Saccharomyces cerevisiae S288C: one gene and its partners. Changing the gene in region 2 together with the main gene of any one other region gives a genetic interaction. Each region holds a gene or a part of one and is shown on either strand. Other genes may lie near its edges.

What was found.
Region 1: mutations in ECM4 (region 2) and YIR042C together harm fitness more than expected from each alone (negative genetic interaction), as found in Saccharomyces cerevisiae (one large-scale study listed by BioGRID).
Region 3: mutations in ECM4 (region 2) and FBP26 together harm fitness more than expected from each alone (negative genetic interaction), as found in Saccharomyces cerevisiae (one large-scale study listed by BioGRID).

What each region holds. Positions count from the first base shown.
Region 1 is NC_001141.2:434,661-437,646, reverse strand, and holds YIR042C (uncharacterized protein), read left to right. Parts: upstream 1-1,663; coding exon 1,664-2,374; downstream 2,375-2,986.
Region 2 is NC_001143.9:580,040-583,882, forward strand, and holds ECM4 (S-glutathionyl-(chloro)hydroquinone reductase), read left to right. Parts: upstream 1-2,243; coding exon 2,244-3,356; downstream 3,357-3,843. Other genes in the region: YKR075C (uncharacterized protein), read right to left, coding at 1-711; MSA2 (Msa2p), read left to right, coding at 3,614-3,843. UniProt on the Saccharomyces cerevisiae protein: Active as '1-Cys' thiol transferase against beta-hydroxyethyl disulfide (HED), as dehydroascorbate reductase and as dimethylarsinic acid reductase, while not active against the standard GST substrate 1-chloro-2,4-dinitrobenzene (CDNB).
Region 3 is NC_001142.9:128,785-132,211, reverse strand, and holds FBP26 (fructose-2,6-bisphosphatase), read left to right. Parts: upstream 1-1,568; coding exon 1,569-2,927; downstream 2,928-3,427. Other genes in the region: retromer subunit VPS35, read left to right, coding at 1-1,111; SSY5 (Ssy5p), read left to right, coding at 3,260-3,427. UniProt on the Saccharomyces cerevisiae protein: Monofunctional, high-specificity fructose-2,6-bisphosphatase, which releases phosphate from the 2-position of fructose 2,6-bisphosphate. Has no detectable 6-phosphofructo-2-kinase activity.

The DNA of each region.
Region 1 (2,986 bases), on a different chromosome or scaffold from region 2:
TTCCGTCTCTTACATTGAAGAAGCATTGGGAGTTTATTTTACAGAAGTTGAAAAACAATGGAAGTTGTTTAATACTGAAAAATCATGGAGCCCTGTTGGCCTAGAAGATGCTAAACTTCCCAAAGAAGCTTACCGATTTAAGCTTACCTGGATTCTTAAAAGGATTTTCAAGCTGCGGTGTTTACAAGTCTTCCTTTATTATTTTTTAATTGTCTACACGTCTGGAAATGTTGACCTTATATCACGTTTCTTGTTTCCGGTAGTAATGTTTTTTATCATGACGAGAGATTTCCAAAATATGGGAATGATTGTTTTATCCGTTAAAATGGAACACAAGATGCAGTTCTTGTCAACTATTATAAATGAGCAAGAAAGCGGTGCGAATGGATGGGACGAAATTGCAAAGAAAATGAATAGGTATTTGTTTGAGAAAAAAGTCTGGAATAATGAAGAGTTTTTCTACGATGGACTTGACTGTGAATGGTTTTTTAGCTGCTTTTTCTATCGCCTTTTATCTTTAAAAAAAACTATGTGGTTTGCTTCGTTGAACGTTGAGCTATGGCCATACGTTAAAGAAGCACAATCCGTGGTAACAAGTCTTTAGTGAAAAAGTGAACATGTTTTTTTCAACCTAAAAGGTGGGTTAAGATTTTCATCGAGCAATTTTATGCACACAGCACGACATGGTTCAGAGTATAATATATTGGAAGAAAATGCACACGAGCATAATTCTCAAATTATATATAATTACTGAGTATTAATTACAACCGGACACGCTCCATAATTATTCTTTTAAGATTATTGTTTATTAAGGAGCACTTCTAGAAAATAAATGTTTGGAGCCATTAAAATGTAAACTAGCAGATAATTATAATTTATATTCCTTAAAGGCACAAATCTCCGTAATATGTGTATGTATTTATTACTTTTGAGTTTGCCTATTTAGCACAGAGCGGATCGAAAGTATTGGAATAGTAACACCGATATTATTTCTTGGAGGCTTCTCATGAGCCAGCATCATTTTAAAGTCAAGCAGTTGAAATGGAGTACATTTCCTCATATTTTCTATATATACACGAGTTCTTATTTAACTTGAATTGAGTGATTTGTTTTCATCATCTCTTGGCAATTTGTTTTTGAAATATTTTTTGAAAAGAAAGATGCAAATTTCGCGAATCACATTTTCTGTTGCATCGATAAGGTTATTGCTGATCATAAACACATTTATGTGAGATTTGTTTCAATAGCGCACGCACTTATACGCCACTCGCTGAATTTGTCTCCTTCTCAAAATTGGGATTATCATAAGGCATAAGTGTATATTAGAAAATTATGCAAACTCTGTACCTATATTTGCAGAGTCTATAAGAAGCTGTTTACTGGGCTTACAATAAAGCAGATCTCTTGTACTGTAATACGTCTTGGATCATCGCCAGTGTGAAAGTCAAAAAGTTCGTAGTTCTTTGTGCACGTGATATTTGCTCTGTTTATTGGTTCATAATGGAAGGTTGTTTTTTTTTTGAGCCATTCTTCAAAGGTTGATAGGAGGTTGATAAGAGGTTGATAAACAATCAACAATGATATAAAAATAGCATGGGAGGACGCCTTGCAAGAATTTTCCCGCCTCTGAACCTGGAAATAATGCCCTTCAGTAGAAACAATTATGGCGAATTTAAATATATTTGGGCAAGAAGTTGGTGCTGACGTCGAAGGTTGGACAACAAGGGCCTTCCCAGAGAAAGTTGTATTGAAAGGTAACACTTGCAGACTAGAACCTCTAGATAGAGAAAGACATGGTTCGGAACTTTTTAGTGCCTATAGTGAGGCAGGCCAAAAATTATGGACGTATTTACCTGCGGGACCATTCACTAACTTGGAGGAATATCTAGAATTCATTAAGGAACTCAATGAAACTAAAGATACTGTGCCTTTCGCAATTATTAATAAAGAGACTGAACGTGCCGTTGGTACATTGTGCTTAATAAGAATCGATGAAGCCAACGGTTCACTAGAAGTTGGATATGTTGTTTTTTCACCAGAATTACAGAAGACGATTATTGCAACTGAAGCTCAATTTCTGTTAATGAAGTATGTATTTGATGATCTTCAATACAGGAGATATGAGTGGAAGTGTGATAGTTTAAATGGGCCGTCAAGGAGGGCAGCGATGCGCTTAGGCTTTAAGTATGAAGGCACGTTTCGACAAGTGGTGGTATATAAGGGTCGCACTCGCGACACTCAATGGTTTTCAATAATCGATAAAGAATGGTTACGCATTCGTAAAACCTTTGAAGAATGGTTAGACAAAACAAATTTTGAAAATGGCAAACAAAAGAGAGGAATAGCAGCAATAAGAGAAAGCTTGTCAAACTGAAAACTCGCCCTCTCTTTCATGCAGGACATATGTATATATAGCATTTTTTGGTTACCATACTGTAGACTAGGATTTTTTTGCAGTCATGTGAATTTTCCGACTTCACCTTCAACAAAGAAAAATCGCATTTACAATGACTAAGACTTCACGCATTTGCGCTGATCTCCTTTAAGCTTGAATGACATTGAAATGTTACGTCGATACCGATAATATTTTGGGCTCTCGGTTTTGATTTAAACCAGGAAGCGTAGCTCTCACCTTACTAAGGCTCACATCATGTCATTTATAGTGTCATTTTGGCCCTAACTATATTCCACCTTTCTTCCATATAATAGTTTCAACCTTAACCTCAAAATGTATCATTTAATTTTTCTCATACTCTATCATATTTGTTATATAAACGTACAAAGATTGTAATGTTAACTATGCTAAAGTACAATTATTCACAGCATACTACACCGCGCTACGGTTCGTTACCAACCCTCACTAAACCCATAACGAAAGTGGGTTATCTTTACTATTTTAAACTATATTTTCCTTTTCTTTTCAGTATCCTCCTTACCGTACTAGCACATTTTTCTTATATGTCTTTTTATTTTCCCATCGTTGAAT
Region 2 (3,843 bases):
GTCGATCTCCCTCTTCATCACGGCTTGGTTAAACTTCAACTTCCTGGGGAATTGTTCCTTCTTTTCGTTCATAAGGTCTTCAGAATCTTCATCTATGGAGGAAATTTTAGTGCATGTAGAATGCTGGTCGAAAATGGAAGACGTGTGAGAATCAACAGACGATGGGCATGAAATGTCTTCTAATTTCACCAAAGCGTTGTCATTGCTCTCTATAGAAGCGTTAATCTCATCCACCTCCTCGGTTACCCAGCATTCCGTATTTTTCTTTAAAGCAGATTTTAGATTTTTTGTTTGTTTCTGGTCAATTTGGTTCTGGACCGGCGATATTTCGTTTTCATTACTATCTATGTTAGTCAAATCTGGACCGTACAACACCGTTACATCGGTTTCTTTGTTCCAGTTGATGGACAGTGGATTGGATTTGGAGTTCTGTAAACCATAGTGATTTATGGACCAACGCCTCCAGAGGCAATGATGTAGCCTAACGAGGTACATGTTGTAATCTAGCACGTCCTCTGAAGAGCAACTTGGTAATCGAAGTAGTTTATGTTTGCGCATCTTCAATAGTAGTGTCCATGAAGCCGATATTTCCAAGCTTGCATCATTAAATTCATGATGGAAATAGTCAATCGCAGGCTTGTTGTAGTTGGTCATGTTATCCAGTAACATTATATTCTGGTACGAAATTATTGTATCGTCCAAACTAGTCATTTTCTGTATATGTATCTATTTGTGTGTGTATGAACACTTGTGTGTAGTATCTGAATGCGATAAGAGAAAGGGCCAAAGTTGAACTGAATGCAAAAAGTAAAACCTATAAAACCGTGTTGACCATACGCTTTCATATATATATATATATATGTTTGTTTTTGCTAAGACCCGGTAACTGTACTTTTTCTGCAGTCATCCAAGGGAAGACAAAAGAAGAAAGAAAAAACAAGATTAATGTCCCCAGGTTTTTTCTTTTCCTGGCGGAAAAAGCTCAAATCTAACATTTCCCCGCGGGGGTTTCTTTGTAAAGAGTATCGAGTCGGAAACGAAAAAAAAAAAAAGATGAGAAAATGAATTTTTCCGGTCGCCTAAAGATAGAGGTACCAGCGGAAAAAATGCAGCAAAAGCAAAATACCCCATTCAAGTTCCCCCTGTCTCGCCCCTCTCACGCTTCACTGTCCCCCGCTTTCGGTTTTTCCGGCTACGGCATTTCTGTTGAAAGTTGCCGGAAAAACCCCAAAAAGCATAAAAAAAAAGAGCGGGGGGAAGAAAAAAAGATTCCTTTCTATCTTTTCCTTCCCCGGCCTATTCGGGTACTCGCTTCCGGGTCCGCTGTCGTTTATAATGATTAGTGCAGAGAGCTTTCTTCTCTTAGTTTTTCATGTGGTAAAGGCAATGCCATTTAGAAGGATACTACGTGGGGTTCAAAACCGTGAATACGTTGTCTATCGTGTTATGTATGTTCTGAGTTTCTTTTTGTCATTCTACTAGTTTATGGACTGGGACTATGTATCTTGCAGTATGATTTCGTCAGGAAGCTTGTCATAGCAAGGCCTGAACAAATCGTACGTTAAAATAAAAATGAGCACCAATTCGAGTCACTGATGCCTACTGCTCAATCCAACCATCTAGTTCTGCAAAGATACTTACTCCGCATAATTAAAAAAATAAGGTATTTTAAAGTTGTGTAGTGACGAATGTAGTGACGCGGAAACGTTTTACTCGTCAATGGACATTTGCGAATGTGTCCGATAAATAGTTGAGGCTTTTCCTGCATTCTGTCAAGAAGGGTATGTGTATGAACATGCAAATGACACTGTAAAATGATTCATTACCCTGATTATGGAGTGATTTTCTTTCCTTTTTTTTTTTACATTTAGTTTCATTATTATGCAAATTAGAGGGTATACAGTTGAGATTTTAACACTTTGAATTAAAAAGTGTTACAGAGGAAACCGACGCAAAAGGCTTGGTGACGCAAACTTTTCCATCTTTATTTCACCTCTTCAGACGGTCCTAAGACCTTTTGAACGTATCAATATAGTTTTATCATCTGTTCTCTGTTGTTCTCCGTTACTAAGATATTAGTCAGCTCTTGAAATTTCACACCCCTATTTATTTGTCTTAGCGTCCAACCCCTCTCAACCCTTTTCCATTTCTTGTATAAAGGTAGTTAATTAGGTAACGCTGCTCTTACCATCACTACAGTGCTTACGAGAATTTACCCAAACCCTGCGCAAGATAAATAAGAAATGTCGAAACAGTGGGCGAGTGGTACAAACGGAGCTTTCAAAAGACAGGTTTCGTCCTTCAGAGAAACAATCTCTAAGCAACACCCAATTTATAAGCCAGCAAAGGGAAGATATTGGTTGTATGTTTCACTTGCATGCCCATGGGCCCATAGAACACTAATTACGAGGGCTTTGAAGGGATTAACCTCTGTTATAGGATGTAGCGTAGTCCATTGGCACCTTGACGAGAAAGGATGGAGATTTTTGGACATGGAAAAGCAATTGGAGGACAGTGAAGATTTTTTGGAACATTGGCACGATGTTGCAGGTGGTATTAGAACTGCTAAAGAGGATTCCAGCAAGAGCTTCGCCGAGATCAAGAATGACAGTCAAAGATTCATGGTTGATGCTACCAATGAGCCTCACTATGGATACAAGAGAATCAGTGACTTATATTACAAGAGCGATCCTCAATACTCGGCAAGGTTCACCGTCCCAGTCCTGTGGGACTTAGAAACCCAAACAATTGTTAACAACGAAAGTAGCGAAATTATAAGGATTTTGAACTCTAGTGCGTTCGATGAATTTGTCGACGACGATCACAAGAAAACGGACCTTGTTCCTGCTCAGTTGAAAACACAGATCGATGACTTCAATTCTTGGGTTTACGACAGCATCAACAATGGTGTATACAAGACCGGATTCGCAGAGAAAGCAGAAGTTTACGAAAGTGAAGTCAACAACGTATTTGAACATTTGGACAAAGTGGAGAAAATCCTGAGTGACAAATATTCCAAATTGAAGGCCAAATACGGTGAAGAAGATAGACAAAAAATCTTGGGTGAGTTCTTCACTGTGGGTGATCAATTAACAGAAGCTGACATTAGATTGTATACTACCGTCATAAGATTCGATCCTGTGTACGTCCAACATTTCAAATGCAATTTTACCTCTATTAGAGCCGGATATCCATTTATTCATTTGTGGGTAAGAAATTTATACTGGAATTATGATGCCTTCAGGTACACAACAGATTTTGACCATATCAAGTTACACTACACGCGTTCCCACACAAGGATCAACCCCTTGGGAATTACGCCCCTGGGACCCAAGCCAGATATTCGTCCTTTATAACAAGCTGTAATTAAATAATCAAATGTCTATAATCTCCCTGAGTTGCCTCTTTTTCTATACTCAATTGGGTAATTGACGCGAAACGCGTTAAAGTGCAAAAAAAGGCCTGGAAATTATATTTAACGCAATGAAATATTTTCATAATATGACATTCATGCACAGCTGTATTCATTCTTCTACTTTGTAGTTTGTTATTCTTCTTTATCGGTTTCGTTTTACAAAAGATTTTAGCAAGGAAGCAGTTTTTAAACCAATCAATGGTATACACAACACCGCAACAACAGCAGAGATTCAGCTCCACACCGCAATCTAGCCACACTCTTATCTTCTCGCCAATCAGAGCCCCTTCAATGCAAACGCCCTCCTCATTGGATTACCAATCACCTTCAATTGTTGTGTCATCGTCTTCAATGAAGGTTCACGGCCGGTCTTCCAGTTTCGGTAAATTTTCACTGTCTATTGGGCAAAATGGTAAGGCTACAATACT
Region 3 (3,427 bases), on a different chromosome or scaffold from region 2:
AGGTGGCATCAATGTTAAATACACTTTTCCAGCAATAATCACAAATTTTTGGAAACTGATGAGGAAATGCCGTATGATACAAGAGTACCTTTTGAAAAAAAGACCCGATAACAAGACGTTACTTTCCCATTATTCCAATCTTTTAAAGCAAATGTTTAAATTTGTTTCTCGTTGTATCAATGATATCTTTAATTCTTGCAACAACTCATGCACAGATCTGATTCTGAAACTGAATTTACAATGTGCCATTCTAGCTGATCAATTGCAATTAAACGAAATTTCATATGATTTTTTCTCACAGGCCTTCACAATATTTGAAGAGTCTCTAAGTGATTCAAAGACTCAGTTACAGGCTTTAATATATATTGCTCAGTCTTTACAAAAGACAAGATCACTCTACAAAGAAGCTTATTATGATTCTTTGATTGTCAGATGCACACTCCATGGATCCAAATTATTAAAGAAACAAGACCAATGTCGTGCTGTTTATTTATGCTCCCACCTCTGGTGGGCAACGGAAATTTCAAATATTGGTGAGGAAGAAGGTATCACAGACAACTTCTACAGAGATGGTAAACGGGTGTTAGAATGTCTACAAAGGTCTCTCCGTGTGGCGGATTCTATAATGGATAACGAACAGAGTTGTGAGCTAATGGTCGAAATATTAAATAGATGCCTCTACTATTTTATTCACGGGGATGAGTCCGAAACTCATATATCGATAAAATACATCAATGGTCTGATCGAACTAATCAAAACAAACTTAAAATCGCTAAAACTAGAAGATAACAGTGCCTCTATGATTACCAACTCAATCAGTGATTTGCACATCACCGGAGAAAATAATGTGAAGGCAAGCAGTAATGCTGACGATGGCTCTGTAATCACAGATAAGGAATCAAATGTTGCCATAGGATCGGATGGTACGTATATTCAATTAAATACTCTGAACGGATCTTCCACGCTAATACGCGGAGTCGTAGCAACTGCTTCAGGTAGTAAATTACTGCACCAACTGAAGTATATCCCAATCCACCATTTTCGACGCACTTGTGAGTACATTGAAAGTCAAAGAGAAGTTGACGATCGTTTCAAAGTCATATATGTATAGTTAAATAACGTACTTGCTCTTCGTACATGCCCAAGATAAAAAAAAACTACACAAATAAAGCTAATAAAAATTTACCTAAAGAAGGATCATAGATTAAGTGGAAGGAAACTTGTACATAATTCGAGTTTATTTTCAACTAAGATATCAAGGATTGTTTACTATAAAAACACTTAATTGGGTAATTTCTATTTTTTACTTTTTTTCTGTGTTAAAAAAATGGGTCGCGCCAATGCGCTCACAAATCTATTCTTATCCCTAACTTACATCTACATGTAAAGCGCCACTAAGAGAGCTATAGCTTATCATACATTTACATCAGGTAAAGTATCATTTTGGCCAGTGGATACGAATTTAATATATAATCTTTGCTTTCCCTTCGCTCTTAAATTCACCAAGCAAGTTTGTTAAGAAATAAAGGAAAGGGGGCTCAAAAACCGAATCAAGTAAGACAAGAAACATGGGGTACAGTACTATTTCCAACGATAATGATATCAAAGTATGTGTGATAATGGTTGGCCTACCAGCTAGAGGAAAGTCTTTTATTTCCCAAAAAATTATCAGGTACTTATCGTGGTTATCCATAAAAGCCAAGTGTTTTAATGTGGGAAATTACAGAAGAGACGTGAGTGGAAATGTCCCAATGGATGCTGAGTTTTTTAACTTCGAAAATACAGATAATTTTAAACTCAGAGAATTGGCTGCCCAAAATGCCATAAAAGATATTGTTAATTTTTTTACTAAAGAAGACGGATCTGTGGCAGTTTTCGATGCTACTAATAGTACACGTAAAAGAAGGAAATGGCTTAAAGATATATGTGAAAAGAATAATATTCAACCGATGTTTTTAGAGAGCTGGAGTAACGATCATGAACTGATTATAAATAACGCTAAGGATATCGGTAGCACATCTCCTGATTATGAAAACTCTGAACCTCATGTGGCGGAAGCTGATTTTTTGGAAAGAATTAGACAATATGAAAGATTTTATGAACCTTTGGACCCCCAAAAAGATAAGGATATGACGTTCATTAAGTTGGTCAATATTATTGAAGAAGTAGTAATTAATAAGATCAGAACATATTTGGAAAGTAGGATTGTATTTTATGTTATGAATATTCGTCCTAAACCAAAATATATCTGGCTCTCCCGTCACGGCGAATCGATCTATAACGTAGAGAAAAAAATTGGCGGGGATTCATCACTGTCTGAAAGAGGCTTTCAGTACGCTAAAAAATTGGAGCAGTTAGTGAAAGAGAGCGCAGGAGAAATAAATTTGACCGTGTGGACTTCCACCTTAAAAAGAACACAACAAACGGCAAATTATCTTCCCTATAAGAAACTGCAATGGAAAGCACTTGATGAATTAGACGCTGGCGTTTGTGACGGAATGACGTATGAGGAAATTGAAAAAGAATATCCTGAAGATTTTAAAGCACGTGATAATGACAAATACGAGTACAGATATCGTGGTGGAGAATCATACAGAGATGTAGTGATTCGTTTAGAGCCCGTCATTATGGAATTGGAGCGCCAAGAAAATGTTCTCATTATAACTCATCAAGCCGTACTTCGGTGTATATATGCATATTTTATGAACGTTCCACAGGAGGAATCCCCTTGGATGTCAATCCCACTACACACATTGATCAAGCTGGAGCCTAGGGCCTATGGCACAAAGGTCACCAAAATTAAAGCAAACATCCCTGCAGTGAGTACATATAAAGAGAAGGGTACAAGCCAAGTAGGTGAGCTTTCTCAAAGCTCAACTAAACTTCATCAACTGCTCAATGACTCTCCTTTGGAAGACAAATTTTAAATTTTACTTTTTATTTTTGTGTATCTTAAGTCCAAGCTTACTTGTGGCTGATACGCACAATCTTTTATGTACGAAAAGATCAGGAAACGTAGCATTGATGGTTTTTTATGTACGTCTGCAGCATTGTATGTAATTATTACCCAAACTAATTTTAAGTGAAATTGTAGAACGCCGCGGCGGAAGTATTTTTGAGTAAAAAAAAAAAAGTAAGATTCGAAAATGAAATTATACAGTACAGAAAACGTAAATATACAATAAAGGTTGAATAAACATACTAGATATCCTCCTTTCTTTTTGCATGTACATAGTACTGGTGTAAACTCGATATACCGATGGTCAGATTTTTTGGTTTAAACAAGAAAAAGAACGAAGAAAAGGAAAATACAGACTTGCCTGCAGACAATGAACAAAACGCAGCAGAAACGTCGTCTAGCAACGTATCTGGAAATGAAGAAAGAATAGACCCAAACAGTCATGATACGAACCCTGAAAATGCAAAC